2 linked regions of the Daphnia pulex genome follow. The protein of the gene in region 2 interacts with the protein of the main gene of each other region in a pairwise test. Links are inferred from orthologs where the notes say so. Each region holds a gene or a part of one and is shown on either strand. Other genes may lie near its edges.

What was found. The genes of interacting proteins can lie anywhere in the genome.
Region 1: the proteins of replication factor C subunit 4-like (region 2) and PRKCA-binding protein-like interact in a two-hybrid assay, tested with the Caenorhabditis elegans proteins (3 studies listed by BioGRID). The link is inferred for Daphnia pulex from reciprocal best matches to the Caenorhabditis elegans genes rfc-4 and Y57G11C.22.

Annotation. Positions count from the first base shown.
Region 1 is NC_060018.1:683,326-689,798, forward strand, and holds the start of PRKCA-binding protein-like, read left to right. Parts: upstream 1-2,628; 5' UTR 2,629-2,875; coding exon 2,876-2,922; exon of another isoform or gene 2,923-3,362; coding exon 3,363-3,422; intron 3,423-3,622; coding exon 3,623-3,652; intron 3,653-3,922; coding exon 3,923-4,162; intron 4,163-4,728; coding exon 4,729-4,840; intron 4,841-4,920; coding exon 4,921-5,051; intron 5,052-5,155; coding exon 5,156-5,375; intron 5,376-5,507; coding exon 5,508-5,559; intron 5,560-5,675; coding exon 5,676-5,809; intron 5,810-5,977; coding exon 5,978-6,085; intron 6,086-6,148; coding exon 6,149-6,234; intron 6,235-6,305; coding exon 6,306-6,369; intron 6,370-6,451; coding exon 6,452-6,473.
Region 2 is NC_060027.1:6,481,111-6,487,686, reverse strand, and holds replication factor C subunit 4-like, read left to right. Parts: upstream 1-2,299; 5' UTR 2,300-2,389; coding exon 2,390-2,508; intron 2,509-2,574; coding exon 2,575-2,751; intron 2,752-2,833; coding exon 2,834-2,932; intron 2,933-3,010; coding exon 3,011-3,069; intron 3,070-3,220; coding exon 3,221-3,258; intron 3,259-3,328; coding exon 3,329-3,428; intron 3,429-3,494; coding exon 3,495-3,584; intron 3,585-3,654; coding exon 3,655-3,758; intron 3,759-4,016; coding exon 4,017-4,214; intron 4,215-4,322; coding exon 4,323-4,409; 3' UTR 4,410-4,476; downstream 4,477-6,576. UniProt on the Caenorhabditis elegans protein: The elongation of primed DNA templates by DNA polymerase delta and epsilon requires the action of the accessory proteins PCNA and activator 1. This subunit may be involved in the elongation of the multiprimed DNA template.

The DNA.
Region 1 (6,473 bases), on a different chromosome or scaffold from region 2:
AGGAAAAAACAAACAAACAAATATGTTTTCTCTCTCCTTCTCTCTCTGTATGTGTCAATATCTCCGCCCACTTGTCTCTCTCCTCTTTTGTTTGGGGGTCACCTGCGACGAGAGACATATAACAATAGGACGTGTGATGTGGTAAATATATAACAAGCGATGGGCCAATTTTTCGACGCCACACACACAGACAACAAAACGTGGTCCACTTGCGCCATTTCGCACACATAGGTGTGGCAATGACACCCACTCTACACAGACACACGTGCTGATTGAAAAAACAAATAGATTTCTGTACCTGATAAGAATCCGGTGGGGGGCGAAACGCACTTTTGGGTTTGTTGCCGACGAGGAACAAAGCCGAGCAGAGTTCCGATAAGAAGAAGAAGAAGAGAAAGTTGCGCCCGAACCCGTTGAGGTGGCGCTGTTGAATCCGAACGCCAGTAGCGAGTAGCGAGTCGACTATAGACGGAGTCCACCACCAGCCAAAGATACGCGTATATACCTCTCCCACACACACACACACACACAAAACAGCAAGGGGGGTATGAGTGTACGGTATCTCTTGCATCAAACGCAATCAGCGCCGTCGCCGTCGTCCTGGCATCGACCGCCCCCCTCCACCGACCGACGCGCCCAGGTCCGGCTGTTGCTGCGCGGGCATCTCGCCGAGCAGCCGCTCTGCTTTGCGTTTGACACGGTAGCCCCATGAAAAATGACAATGACAAAAAAGAGAAGAAGAAGAAGAAGAAGATTGAGAAATATCGAAGAAAATCAAACGGCGCAGAGCGGCACCACCGCCGGAATCAAGTCGTCGTCGTCGTTCCCCCCCCCTGTTGGGCGTTGGCTTATTCTCGGCAAAACAACGGGGTCGGGGGTCGGCCCTGCATCTCTGCTAGACTTTTGGATCGATGATCTACCACCCTACCACTCCCTTTACGTTACTTTTGCCCCCCCACCCAAAAGGCCAGACACACACATACACACTATATACTATATTGGGTTGAGAGGGAATCGACGCTCTATAGGCATGGCACAAGATCTTTTATAGACAACGCCGGCGCACTACTGGACAAGCCAAAAAAGCGGAACCCCCTTTTTTTTCCAACCCACACGAAAACAATATTCGAGACATATCTAACCCATGTTATACTCATCATTACTGAGACTACTATAGGTACTATAAATGTGATGTTGCTACGTGCCCAAAGCCCCAAAGTAAAGCGCATATCCGCCGCCCTCACACTTTCGTTTGACGTCTTCATTGTTATTCAACTTGTTTAACCAGTCTGCCGTCATCGGCTCTCTCTCGGGTTATTGGTTCGTCATCTCTTCATTATTCAGCCGTGCCAGTCCATACACATGAATCGACTCTTTCCGTTCATAAGACAACGGCTATAAGTGTATTACATTATTTCACTCCACGTAATAGATGTGTACACGGCGTGCGCTGGCACATGACTTTGAATGCATCCAACATCATCAAAATCTATCTAGCCAACAACTCTGCTCCCCTTATGTAGCCTGCTGCTGGGAAAAAAAATCGTGACGTGTGTACTACTAGACTCGTCACGACGACGGCCCAACTTTCTTTTCATATTTTTCCCATTACACCCGCGAGTTTCTTGAGTGGCGTTATTCATCAACTCGCCGAGAGTCTATATAGCGGCTAGAAACTTTCTTCATTTGCCTACATCAAATGTATACATAGAGCAGCCCAGTAGTTATATATACAAAACAGCGCCGAGCAAGTGACTGCTGGGCGCTTTTCATCTTCATCCGCTAGCCGGAAATAAATAAAAAAAAAAGTTGGCAAAAGACGACAAGAAACGTCTCGTTCGTTCGCTTTTCTATTATGAAAATAGCCCCCCCCCCCCCCACCACCATCCGATCGATGATGATGAATCTCTTTGTACTCTTCTTCTTCACTATGTACACACAACTGGAGATGTTCCACCATTATGGGCTGCTACTGGCTGCCGACTTGGCCCGGTGTGTGTATAAAAGGGCCTAGAAAAGGGGTAATCAGTTCGCCCGTTGCCAAAGGTTGACGTCAGCGGGCGTTTCTATATCATCGATTAGTTGCCACTCTCGTCAATTAGCTCGACGCCGCTTTTGATTATTCAGCAGCAGCCGAGATTGATTCCTGTTTGGTTATTTGAATCGACCAATGAATTCCGGTCGTATCGAAATGATTAAAACAACGGCGCAGCGGCAGCATATAACCAATCAAAGTGGAGGGCTGCGCTGTTGATGAGGATGTATCCAGCAACATTATTATTTTGGGTGCCGTATTCCGGTGCTGCCGGATGGTGTTGAAGAGTTCAGAGGAACCACTCAGCCCTGCTCATTTATGTATCAGAAGAGTTTGAACGATCTACCCGAAGAGTTCCCGCTGGACGAATCGATAACTTCCTCAGCTGGGCCGAATGCGGAGAGCGGACAAAAAAAGAGGGTGGCGTATATAATACATTATTGAAGGGGCGACTGAATGACACAAGGAGAATGAGAGAGAGGGGGGAAACCAGAAGAGTCGACGCGCAGGGTGCGCATCCGCCAGTCTTCACGCAACTCCCAGCAGAGCTCGTCCGGCGTTGCCGGATTTTTGAAGCGAGTCGACACGATCGATAAGGGGACCGTTTTCCTGGGCTTATCGAGACGGGAAGGAGAAGCCTGGTGGTGCTGGCCCCAGCCGTTGTAAGTGAGTAGACGACAATTTCTATACGGGTGTACACAAAACAGCTGTGGCAACTGTGGCGACCAGCACCGGGCATCTCTCCTGCTGCTGCTGTCTGCATGTGTCGTAACGTCATTTGACAAACAACCGCATCTCTCTCTCTCTATCGTCTCTGTGCTGAAACAACAATCACCCAAAATGTTGTCCGATTACGAGCCAGACTTTTTTTTCGAAGAGGACAAGATGTAAGTTGATTCGTTCCCTTTTGTAGCTATAGCTCAATCCATTCCGCATTCATTTTTATTTTTGTTCGGTGCGTTCACGTTTTCCGGTTTTTTTTCCCGTTTGATTGCGTGTGTGACGTCGTCGCATGAAAAGAACTCGTTAACCGACTGGTCGATTCGACTCGAGTTCTCCCAAAAACCCCAAATGTTTACCATCGATTTCAGTTACTACAAGTGTCACTTGACAACACTTTTGGTCGTGTAATTATTTTGGCTGCGGGCAGAATAATAGTCAAGAGTGTTGAGAGAAAAGAAAAAAATAATAATAACTCGGTGGTGTTGTTGTGTGCTGCCCTTTTGTTCAGTTCAGTTCAGTTCATTCTTCATCGCTCTGTGTTGTATTTTCATTTTTGGCCGTTGGATTTCCGTTGAGTCAATTTGGCTGCGCGCGCGCACATCAGCGAAAAGAGCAAAATGTGGCCGTATTACGCCGCCCAGTTGCCCATGAAAGAAGATTCCATGTAATTTTCGTTTGATTTTGTTTTTTTTTTGTTACTTATTTTTATTTGCTTTAAAAACTCACGGCGCATTCTTTTTTTTTTCTTTCACGGCTTGATGAATTTTATGATTGATGTGTTTTTTTAAATTTTTTATTTCCTTATTTCCTTCAATATTACGCACTCGCCTTCACTCGCTCTATTTGCGCGCTCCAATCCAAAAGTCCCGAAACGACTTTTCACAGCGGAACCGGGTAAAAACCATCGACGTAGATAGAGACAACCATAAAACCAGTTCGATATTATATAATCTATATAGCTCAAAAATCCCAGTAGATAATCCCATACACACGAACAGAAACGGACATTGTTTCTCCGATAATAACGACGTTATATTTCTATTCTTATTTCTACCAAAATCACGAAAATCGATATACACGAACTAACTGTGCGTGACCACCTGGGAAAACGTGACCGACCAACAAATCACCTGGACCGCCGGCAATGATGGATATGGCCAGTAGTAATAAAGTTAGCTGGGACGACGACCTATCAATAACAAGTCCATCAGATGAACGTCATAATATCCAGAGCTCTCGTGACGACTGCGATGGTAGCCCAGCAGCGGCAGCTAATAACGACGACGACATTGTCCCGGCCGTTGTTAATTCCGACGAGCTTGAATCGTCCTCTAGCATGATTCTTCTTGAGGTCGAAGACATTGAGGACGAACTACGTGGATTTTTCTGGCCAGAGAATCGAGAGTAAGTCGACGACCCGAGTGCGCGCCTGTACAATCTGCAAAATGTAGAATCGTCGTCGACTATATATAATACGCCTCGCAGTGCGTGCAGCAGTTTAATGGTGTGCGCTATAAATAGAGAGAGGATCGATATTATTTGCCATCTGTATAGCAGCTCGTTTTGCTGCTGGTAAAGCCCATCATCAAATAGTTATTCCATTTTCCAACTTTTGGGCTCTTTAGATGTATGTATAATCATGTAGTCTCTAATTCAACGTCGTGTACTCTTTCGACCTCGTTATTTCGGCCGCCCTTTCTGCGGTCTTTGACGTGTACTCTAACGCTTTTATCACGCTCTCACGATCGATTGGCTATATAGTAGCTCTGTGCATATTATTAGGCTACTATGTATGTTACATTTCGGGGCTCTATTGGCTGAGCTGGCTTCTGCTTCTGCTTTTGAAATTGTGTATGATTGATGTTACGTGGCTTTGAGAAATTATCGACTGGCAAGTCGATAACTTATTTATCTGCCATTTCGCATCGTTGAAATGAATTAAAAATGAATGTTTGCATCACGTATAACAGGGGAATGACGATTACGACGGGTTCCATCGTTCTGGAAAAGGACGGATCAAATTTGATTGGAATCAGCATCGGAGGAGGTGCACCTTATTGCCCTTGCCTCTACATTGTCCAGGTTTATTAACCGAAATCTATCCGGCGCTTCCGGCGCGGTGCGGATGGAATTTTTAAAATTCGTATGTTGGGTAAATTTAGATATTTGACAACACTGCAGCCGCGAAAGACGGTACACTTCAAAGTGGCGACGAAATAATTGGAGTGGACAACGTCTCGGTCAAAGGCAAAACCAAATCCGAAGTGGCTAAAATGATTCAAGCCGCCCAAAGGTAATCATAATAATCAGATTTCCTCCGCGCGTAACTATATATACGTACTTTGGAAGGAACCAACAAATTTGAATTTCAATTTCGTGGTATTTTTAAAATTGTAGTTCAGTCACGATCCGGTACAACAAACTTCACGCAGAGCCCGCCCAGGGCAAGACGTTGGATTTGATCCTGAAGAAAGTCAAGCACCGCTTCGTCGAAAACATGTCCAGCTCGACGGCCGACGCTCTGGGACTTTCGAGGGCTATCTTGTGCAACGACAGCTTGTTGAAGCGTCTAGAAGATCTCAAGCGTTGCGAGGGAATGTACCGAGGCTTAGTCGAGGTATATTGCGTGTACCTTCTTCGTCTTATTCTATCATTATTTGCTTGTTCACGTCACGTTGTTGTTGATGTTCTTCCTTCCACAAACACGTCACGGATGTCATTATTTTTCAAAATTGGGTTCGTTATATAGCACACCAGGCGACTCCTACGCTCCTACTACGACCTCTCCCAAACTTACAAAGGTATATATTTTATAATGGACTCGAAATAAGATTGAAAGTGGAGTGAACTTTTTTCTTAGTCCAAGAAGAGACTTAAATTTTCATGAAACGAATGTTCTTGTCGTGTGTCTTCTTAGACTTTGGCAACATCTTTTCAACCATCGGCGTTCGCGAGTTGCAGCCTCGAGCCAGCGAAGTTTTCACAAAGTTTGGCGAGATCCATCGGCAAATGGAACGCTACGGCGTCCAAATGATTAAACAACTCAAGCCGGTATACTTAATATAACATCCGGCGCCGAGCGAGTTTTCCAGCAAAAAGCCTCCGGCTTCGATACAAAACTTTTGTCTGATGTGCTTGCTGCCCCTCCACAGCATCTGCAGCAGCGAAACTTTTGTCCGTTCATATCTAACTGAATCAATCCATACATGTTTAAATCAGGTGCTGGCGGATTTAGGGACTTTTCTCCACAAAGCCATCCCAGATACGCGGATGACCATCGGTCGCTATGCTGACGCAAAGTTTGAATATCTCTCCTATTGTTTGAAGGTATGTATAACATGGGATGTCTGACTATTGATCCCGAATTTAATGAACTTGGCGATGAATCAGGTCAAAGAAATGGACGACGAAGAGCAGAGCTACCACACGCTACAAGAGCCTTCCTACAGGATTGAAACGGGAAATTACGAATACCGGTAATCGATACATCTCAAATCCCGCGTATAGAATTCAAATGTTAATTTATTGGTTGGCCCACATGACGCAGATTGGTTCTTCGATGCCGCCAAGACGCCAGGGCGCGATTTGCCGCTCTACGGTCCGACGTTCAGGTATAATAGTGAAAGCCACGCTGTTTTATAACACACAGCAGTAATTTATTAAAGTGAATAACAAGATGAACCCATCCATCAGGTCAAAATCGAGTTACTTGACA
Region 2 (6,576 bases):
TTTTACGGGACGGGCGCCGGGGCGTATCGCTGAGTCCGCGGGCCAACCCGAGCGGTAGTGTTGTCTACCGCCAACCCGAGCGGTTGTCTAGTATTCACATAGAGAACAGAGAAGCTCGTTATGCAATATGCCTGCGGCCTCAAGAAAGACCTAAAAATGTTGCCGTCAAATGCTCTACGAGAATTCCGTAGTGAAAAGTAGAATAAGTGGTAGATAAGGGCATCCAGGAGTGTGAAGAAGACAGTATTGACGTGCCATTGCTAGAAAAAGAAGATTATTAAGAAATTTATGGAATTTTTTCAAGTTTGTTCAATGAGATGAAAGTTAACTACTACATTTAAACTTCAGTAACATTTTCAAGTTTCTTTTATCAATGTACGTTTGACTATGTATATAAATATAATTTGTAAACGTCCATTGATAAACTTAAAAAATGTGTGTTTGACCCGATTTTTACCCTGGGCGTGACCCGGGCCGGTAAGTTTGTTGTGTCCCGTGGGATGACCCGGGTCGGGTCATTTTTCGCTTTTGGCCCATCCCGATCAAACCCGTGTTAAAAAAAAAATCTAGGAAACCTATCTAAAAAAAAAACCGCCCATTTAGCTCCGGGTTACAGCCTTAGTTATAACCCTTTAAAGTACCCTAATTTACACGTATCAGTGTTGGCTGCGCGCACGTTTAATATGTGCAATTTCCTGTTTGATTGCGCGCATCAGTGTTGGCGGAGGCAGTTTAAAGTGTGCGCAGGTTTAAAATGTACAAGTTTGGATCTTGCGCGCATTTCAGTATCACAGTATGGGTGCGCGCATATTCCCTTCGGCCAGCGCGCATTTTAGTGTTTAGGCACGCATTTTCTCCCTGCGATGCGCGCAAACTAGTACGTTTCTTTTTTTTTTTAAACGCGCATTTTAGCAGAGCTAGACTCCTGGTCGCTTCACGGCTGAGTTGGCTTCTTCCCTATCCCGGTTTCAGGGTAAACGTAAGCCGATTTGGAAACTTCAAGTGAGTGTGTCAGCTACTACGCTCAGCTACTTTTGAGAGCCTAGATGGCTCTTTTTAACGTTTCCACTTCACAAATTCTGACAGGCTCCGCCCTAAAATCTCTGAAAATCGGCTTACTGTTACCCTGAAACCGGGATAGAGAAGCCAACACAGCCGTAAAGCGACCAGGAGTCTATAGATGTTATACCAATGAAAAAGTAGTATGACATGCCAAAAAATCGTGCGCAGTTTACGCCGATGCGCACCACAGCGGCAGATAGCATAACTAAACTTTTTATTACGCTTGGACTTAGCGTACTTCAAGATCCTTTGTTCGACAAGCAGTCGGTTCTCGTCTCGTCTCTTGAAGTACGCTAAGTGTCAAGCGTAATAAAAAGTTTAGTTATGCTATCTGCCGCTGTGGTGCGCATCGGCGTAAACTGCGCACGATTTTTTGGCATCTACTACTTTTTCATTGGTATAACCATAGACAAAGACCACTGGTTGATGCTGTGCTATCCTTTTAGCCCTATCCCTACTGACCCCGAGCTCCCGTATCGATTGTAGTGCCTCTAGCGGACAAAGTACTGTACTGCACCGAGGCTACGAAGGGTTTTGCAGACGAAGATTGTTTTCCTTCTGTCTTGGTAAAATTCTTTGCTGGCGTTTAATAGTTTTAGGTAATTTTGCCTTAAAAATTTTTATTAAGAAGTCAAATTGTATTAAATTTTGACATTAGCTAATTACAAAAGCAGAGAAATCAATTAATCATTGCAATTGAATAGAAGTAAGCAGAGTGTAGAGATGAAAACGTACACTAGAGGGCAGGACAAGTAATACGGGGTTGGAGAAATCGGAGGAAGGGTAGCAAGAATTCTGGCGACAGTTGGCCATGTTAATTTTCTTATGAAGAGCTTCAACCAGTGGTCTTTGTCTATGGTATAACATCTATAGCTCTGATTTTAGTTTTTTCCGCGCAAGACAAATTCCGCGCATTTTAGTGTCCGCGCAAGGCGCACGCGCATTCTAGTAATAGCAGTAATAGTAATCATTCAACGCTGTATGAGTTAAAGACCCGCGAAGTGGAACAACAACAACACAGCATTGCACAATACCTACAAGCCACAACAAGAAGTCAAGAACCAGCAAAGAAATGTAGAGGAAATGGGGGGTAACATTTATTTATCAAACCATCGAATTCCGTTATATAATAATAGATTACAAATAATAATTACCGGAATATCGGGGAGAGCTATCATAGACATACAAAATTAATAGAGCTGCTTTTTTTCAAAATCGTTCGACCTGCCCCTAGCGACAAGCTAAAGCATCTCTGGTGCGCGAGATAAAAAGATCGCAGTCTCTACTTCAAATTTTTCGTAGTCTGTTAATGACAAGAATTGCTTAAATGGATTCATTTTTAAAAACTGGAAAGCTCTCTAATCAGTCTAAGGGAAGTGGAGTGCCATTACTTCCTGGAAATGTTGAAGAAAAAAAGCATTCTTTAATACCTTGGGTCGAGAAATAGTAAACAAACTTGAATTTTATTTTATAATATGTGAAACAGTTTTTTAATCATTTGTCATACTCCAGCCGTCCTCGAACGATTGATGAAGTTTCATATCAGGAAGAAGTAGTTGCAGTACTTCAAAAATCACTCCAAGGAGCTGACCTTCCAAATCTGCTTTTCTATGGTCCACCTGGTACTGGTAAAACCAGCACCATTTTAGCAGCTGCCCGAGATCTTTTTGGTGATATTTACAAGGATAGGTAAATTGTTTTTCTTCCAACCTATGTAATGTTTTGTTTCACAGAAGAGATCTTATTGCACAAGCTAATGTTTTTGATCTAGGGTTTTGGAATTGAATGCATCAGATGAACGAGGTATCCAAGTTGTAAGAGAAAAAGTCAAGATTTTCTCTCAAAGAACTGTTAGCTCAGTTAGACCTGAGTAAGTTTTGAAACCTTTTTTTTTAAGAAATCGTAGCACACTATATTTTGTTGTATTTAACTAATTATATTTGTACAGTGGAAAACAATGCCCTCCTTTCAAAATTGTGATTTTGGATGAAGCAGATTCTATGACAGGTGGTTAAAAAAAAACTTTTTTACAAATTATTATAGTGTTTAATTGTGTAGCCAATAACTAAATTTACCATTTTCCATGATAGCATTTCATTTAGTATCTAGGAATTATTGGCATATAAAAATTCAAATTGACATTGTTTAACTCTGATAGGTGCTGCACAAGCGGCTCTCCGCCGAACCATGGAGAAGGTAATATTTCAAAATAAATTCTACAGCAATTTATATTTAAGGTTTCCCATAAACGTGATAATTTCTCTAGGAGACGAAATCGACTCGGTTTTGCCTGATTTGTAACTACGTAAGCCGCATCATAGAGCCCTTAACGTCAAGATGCTCCAAGTTTAGATTTAAACCACTCCGTAAGATATTTGTTAAATGTTGTGACTAGTGTAAACATGTAAAAGTTGGATTTATTGAAAAATCAGCTCGCGAAATTTTGGTCAAAAGACTAGAACATATATGTATTGCTGAAAATATGTCATGCTCAGAAGAAGTTTTGGAAAGTTTAATCGAAGGTACATACACACATATATCCTTCCACTATACATTTTTATCGGTTAACATATCTGGTTCATTTTTTGTTAGCATCCGAAGGGGATCTTCGAAGGGCGATTACTTTTCTTCAATCTATCGCCAATTTGAATTCTGAAGCATGCCCTACCATTGAAGACATCTATGAAATTACAGGGGTAAGTTTTTTAAATAATTGTTTTATTTATTACTTTGTGAAGTTGGAAACGTAGTAGATGGAAGTATTATTTCCTATCGGAGTTATACGTTGATTATTGTGTTTCGATGGATGTTCAAATTCCTTGTATACTATAATATAGGTTTTTATGCGCCTTTTTATGCCAAAAAACTATATAAATCGTTCGAATTACTAGTTGTACTAAAATCATATTTTACTAACCATCTCATTTAAAGAATATTTTATGTTTTTATTGAAGAGAGTGCCAAGTTGTTGGATTGAAGGCCTGCTTGAAAAATGTACTTCCGGATCATATGATGCAATGCAGTCATTTATCAACAATTTTTCGGCTGAGGGATTTTCGGTTTCCCAGCTTCTTAACCAACTGCATGAACGAATCGTCTTTTCCACAGAACTTTCATCCAAGCAGAAGAACGTGATATGCGAAAAGCTGGCGGTATAAAGTTCATTCAAAAGTTTTTGTTACGATTACCGGTGCTAATTTCTATAGGCTTGTCGCGTTTAGTTTAACTCAATTTTTTCAATCGTATTTTCTATTGATTAGATTTGTGATCACCGTTTGGCGGAAGGAGCTGATGAACAACTTCAGTTGTTAGATCTTAGCTGTACCATCATGAATTCGTTCCAATAGTTCTTTGTAATTCTATTTCTTCTATTGGAATACATTTCTTATAGCAACTCGCTATCAAGTAATAAAACAATCGAGCTGATCAAAAATGTAAATGTATCGTTTAAAGCCTGAGTTAAATATAATTCAAGATTTAAAGATGGCATATTTAAAAAAGAAAACAAAAATGTTTAGCAAACTGAAATTTAGCAAAAAAATATTTGTTGAGATTGCTACTTCCTGTCACTAAAACTTGCCATAAAAGATTCAATGAAATTAGGAAAAAATCAGTTCCCTACAATCTCAAATATAAATTTTTTGCCTTGGCTTGAAGGGGGTGAACGCACTGAACGCTGTTTTGAAAAAAATTGTATCAGCATTAATTGGCCGCAATAATACAATGTAGTATTTCTGTTAATGAATGGAATAATTTGGGGCGGTAAATAATCTTATGGTGTATCAATTTGACTTAGTAATCGCTTCTAAATGTTTATTTTGTTTCCTTGAACTTTTTGTGTCAGACAACTGGAAGTGGTTGAACCGTGATCACAAGTTGTTTTAGATTTTGAAAGCAGATAACTATAATACACGAGAAGAACCTTTTAGGTTGAAAAGATCCGTCTAAAGCTTGTTTTCCTTGACACGTCAAGCTACTTTGCTGCAGAAAAGAATCAACAGAGAAAACACTATCGCCTTAGTTTATCGCTTAGCCTTACTTCAAGTAAATCTTTCCTGTCCGGCGTTGTTGGTTTCAGCTGTCAAAGTGATTCTGAATATGTATTGTATTACTCACAGATTACCTGTATATGTCTGTACACGTTTAAAAGAGATGAATTGACTGACAATCTATTATCTACACTTTTACTTAACTAAAAAAAAATCGGATTTACCAAAATGGTAGAATTGAGCTAAAATTCTGAATTAACCATATAGAAATAAATCGAATAGTCGATTTTAGGCGGATCTCTTTTTAAAATCAAATTTCGCGGTCTGTGCAAATTTAGAGATGTAAATCTATATCAAATGCAATGTTGTCGTTGGCTGTAACGAAATAAGCTACTCCATAGAGTTTACAGAACGCTAGTTGCCTAGTTCTTTTCTAAAAAATAAACGTTAGACACCAGCGGCAGTAGAAATGTGGGGATCACGATTAGACTAATCCCGATAAAGATTTTTTTTTAACAGGAATCATCAATATTAAATTTGGCTTTTTGCTGATTATCATTTATCAGTTCTGTTTTTTTATGATAGAGCAGTTAACACTCAAGCAACGACTTCTAGGGTACGTATCATATTCAATTCGAAATTTTTTTGGCAGTTTAACAACGTTGCGATTGGTTAGATATTATTTTACACATGAGCAACCCATCTGCGCTGCGCGTCATCGGCCGCTATCCATTAAACCGTTTAACATAGTACATAAAAAATGACTCGAATATTGCACCCTAGATGGCGAAATCGTCGAGTTATTACTGATTCAATTAAAAAAAAAGCATTTCAATAAACCCAGATTAATTGTTTAATTTGGATACTGCAGTAAGTATCAAAAATGATTATTTCCCAAACTGAAATCTATTGCTAAATTAATTTGTAATGATGCAACTCGTAGTGTTTGAAATTCTATTCTTTAAAATCACTATTTTTGATGAATACTATTCTCAATCGTCAAACAGGACCAAATATATAGGATGTTCTAAACCCTTTGTAATCACGATGGGCGTATTACTTAGCATTTGATTATGAGATTAGCATCGGTACAGTCTATTACCCACTAAAAATTGAAATGTGGCACGACCGATTTGACATAGGGTTGTGCTCCTCAACTATACATGATATGTTGTAGGTGTGCACAAGCCATACTTTTCGCGGAGGTATGTAGGTGTATAGCTACATCTATAAGCGGTAGGCCTATCGGCTGTCAACCATTGAGTGTCTACGCCCTTGTCGCTTCTGCTTTGGAAATCTCTCCCCGTGTGCCGATATTGCCGATAGAGGAAGAGGGTGGCTAGGGGAGTGAGAAACCGGATAAGGTAAATGGTGGTGCTCACATGAGCAACAGCAGCAGGAGTGATCGACTAGCTCGAGGATGAGAGATTTGCAGTCGAGAAAAAAAGGTGAGGACTGGAAGGAAAGGAAAGCGTTGGCTCGTAGTTAAGTGGGTCATTCGTAGAAAACGTTCCCATCTCCCTTG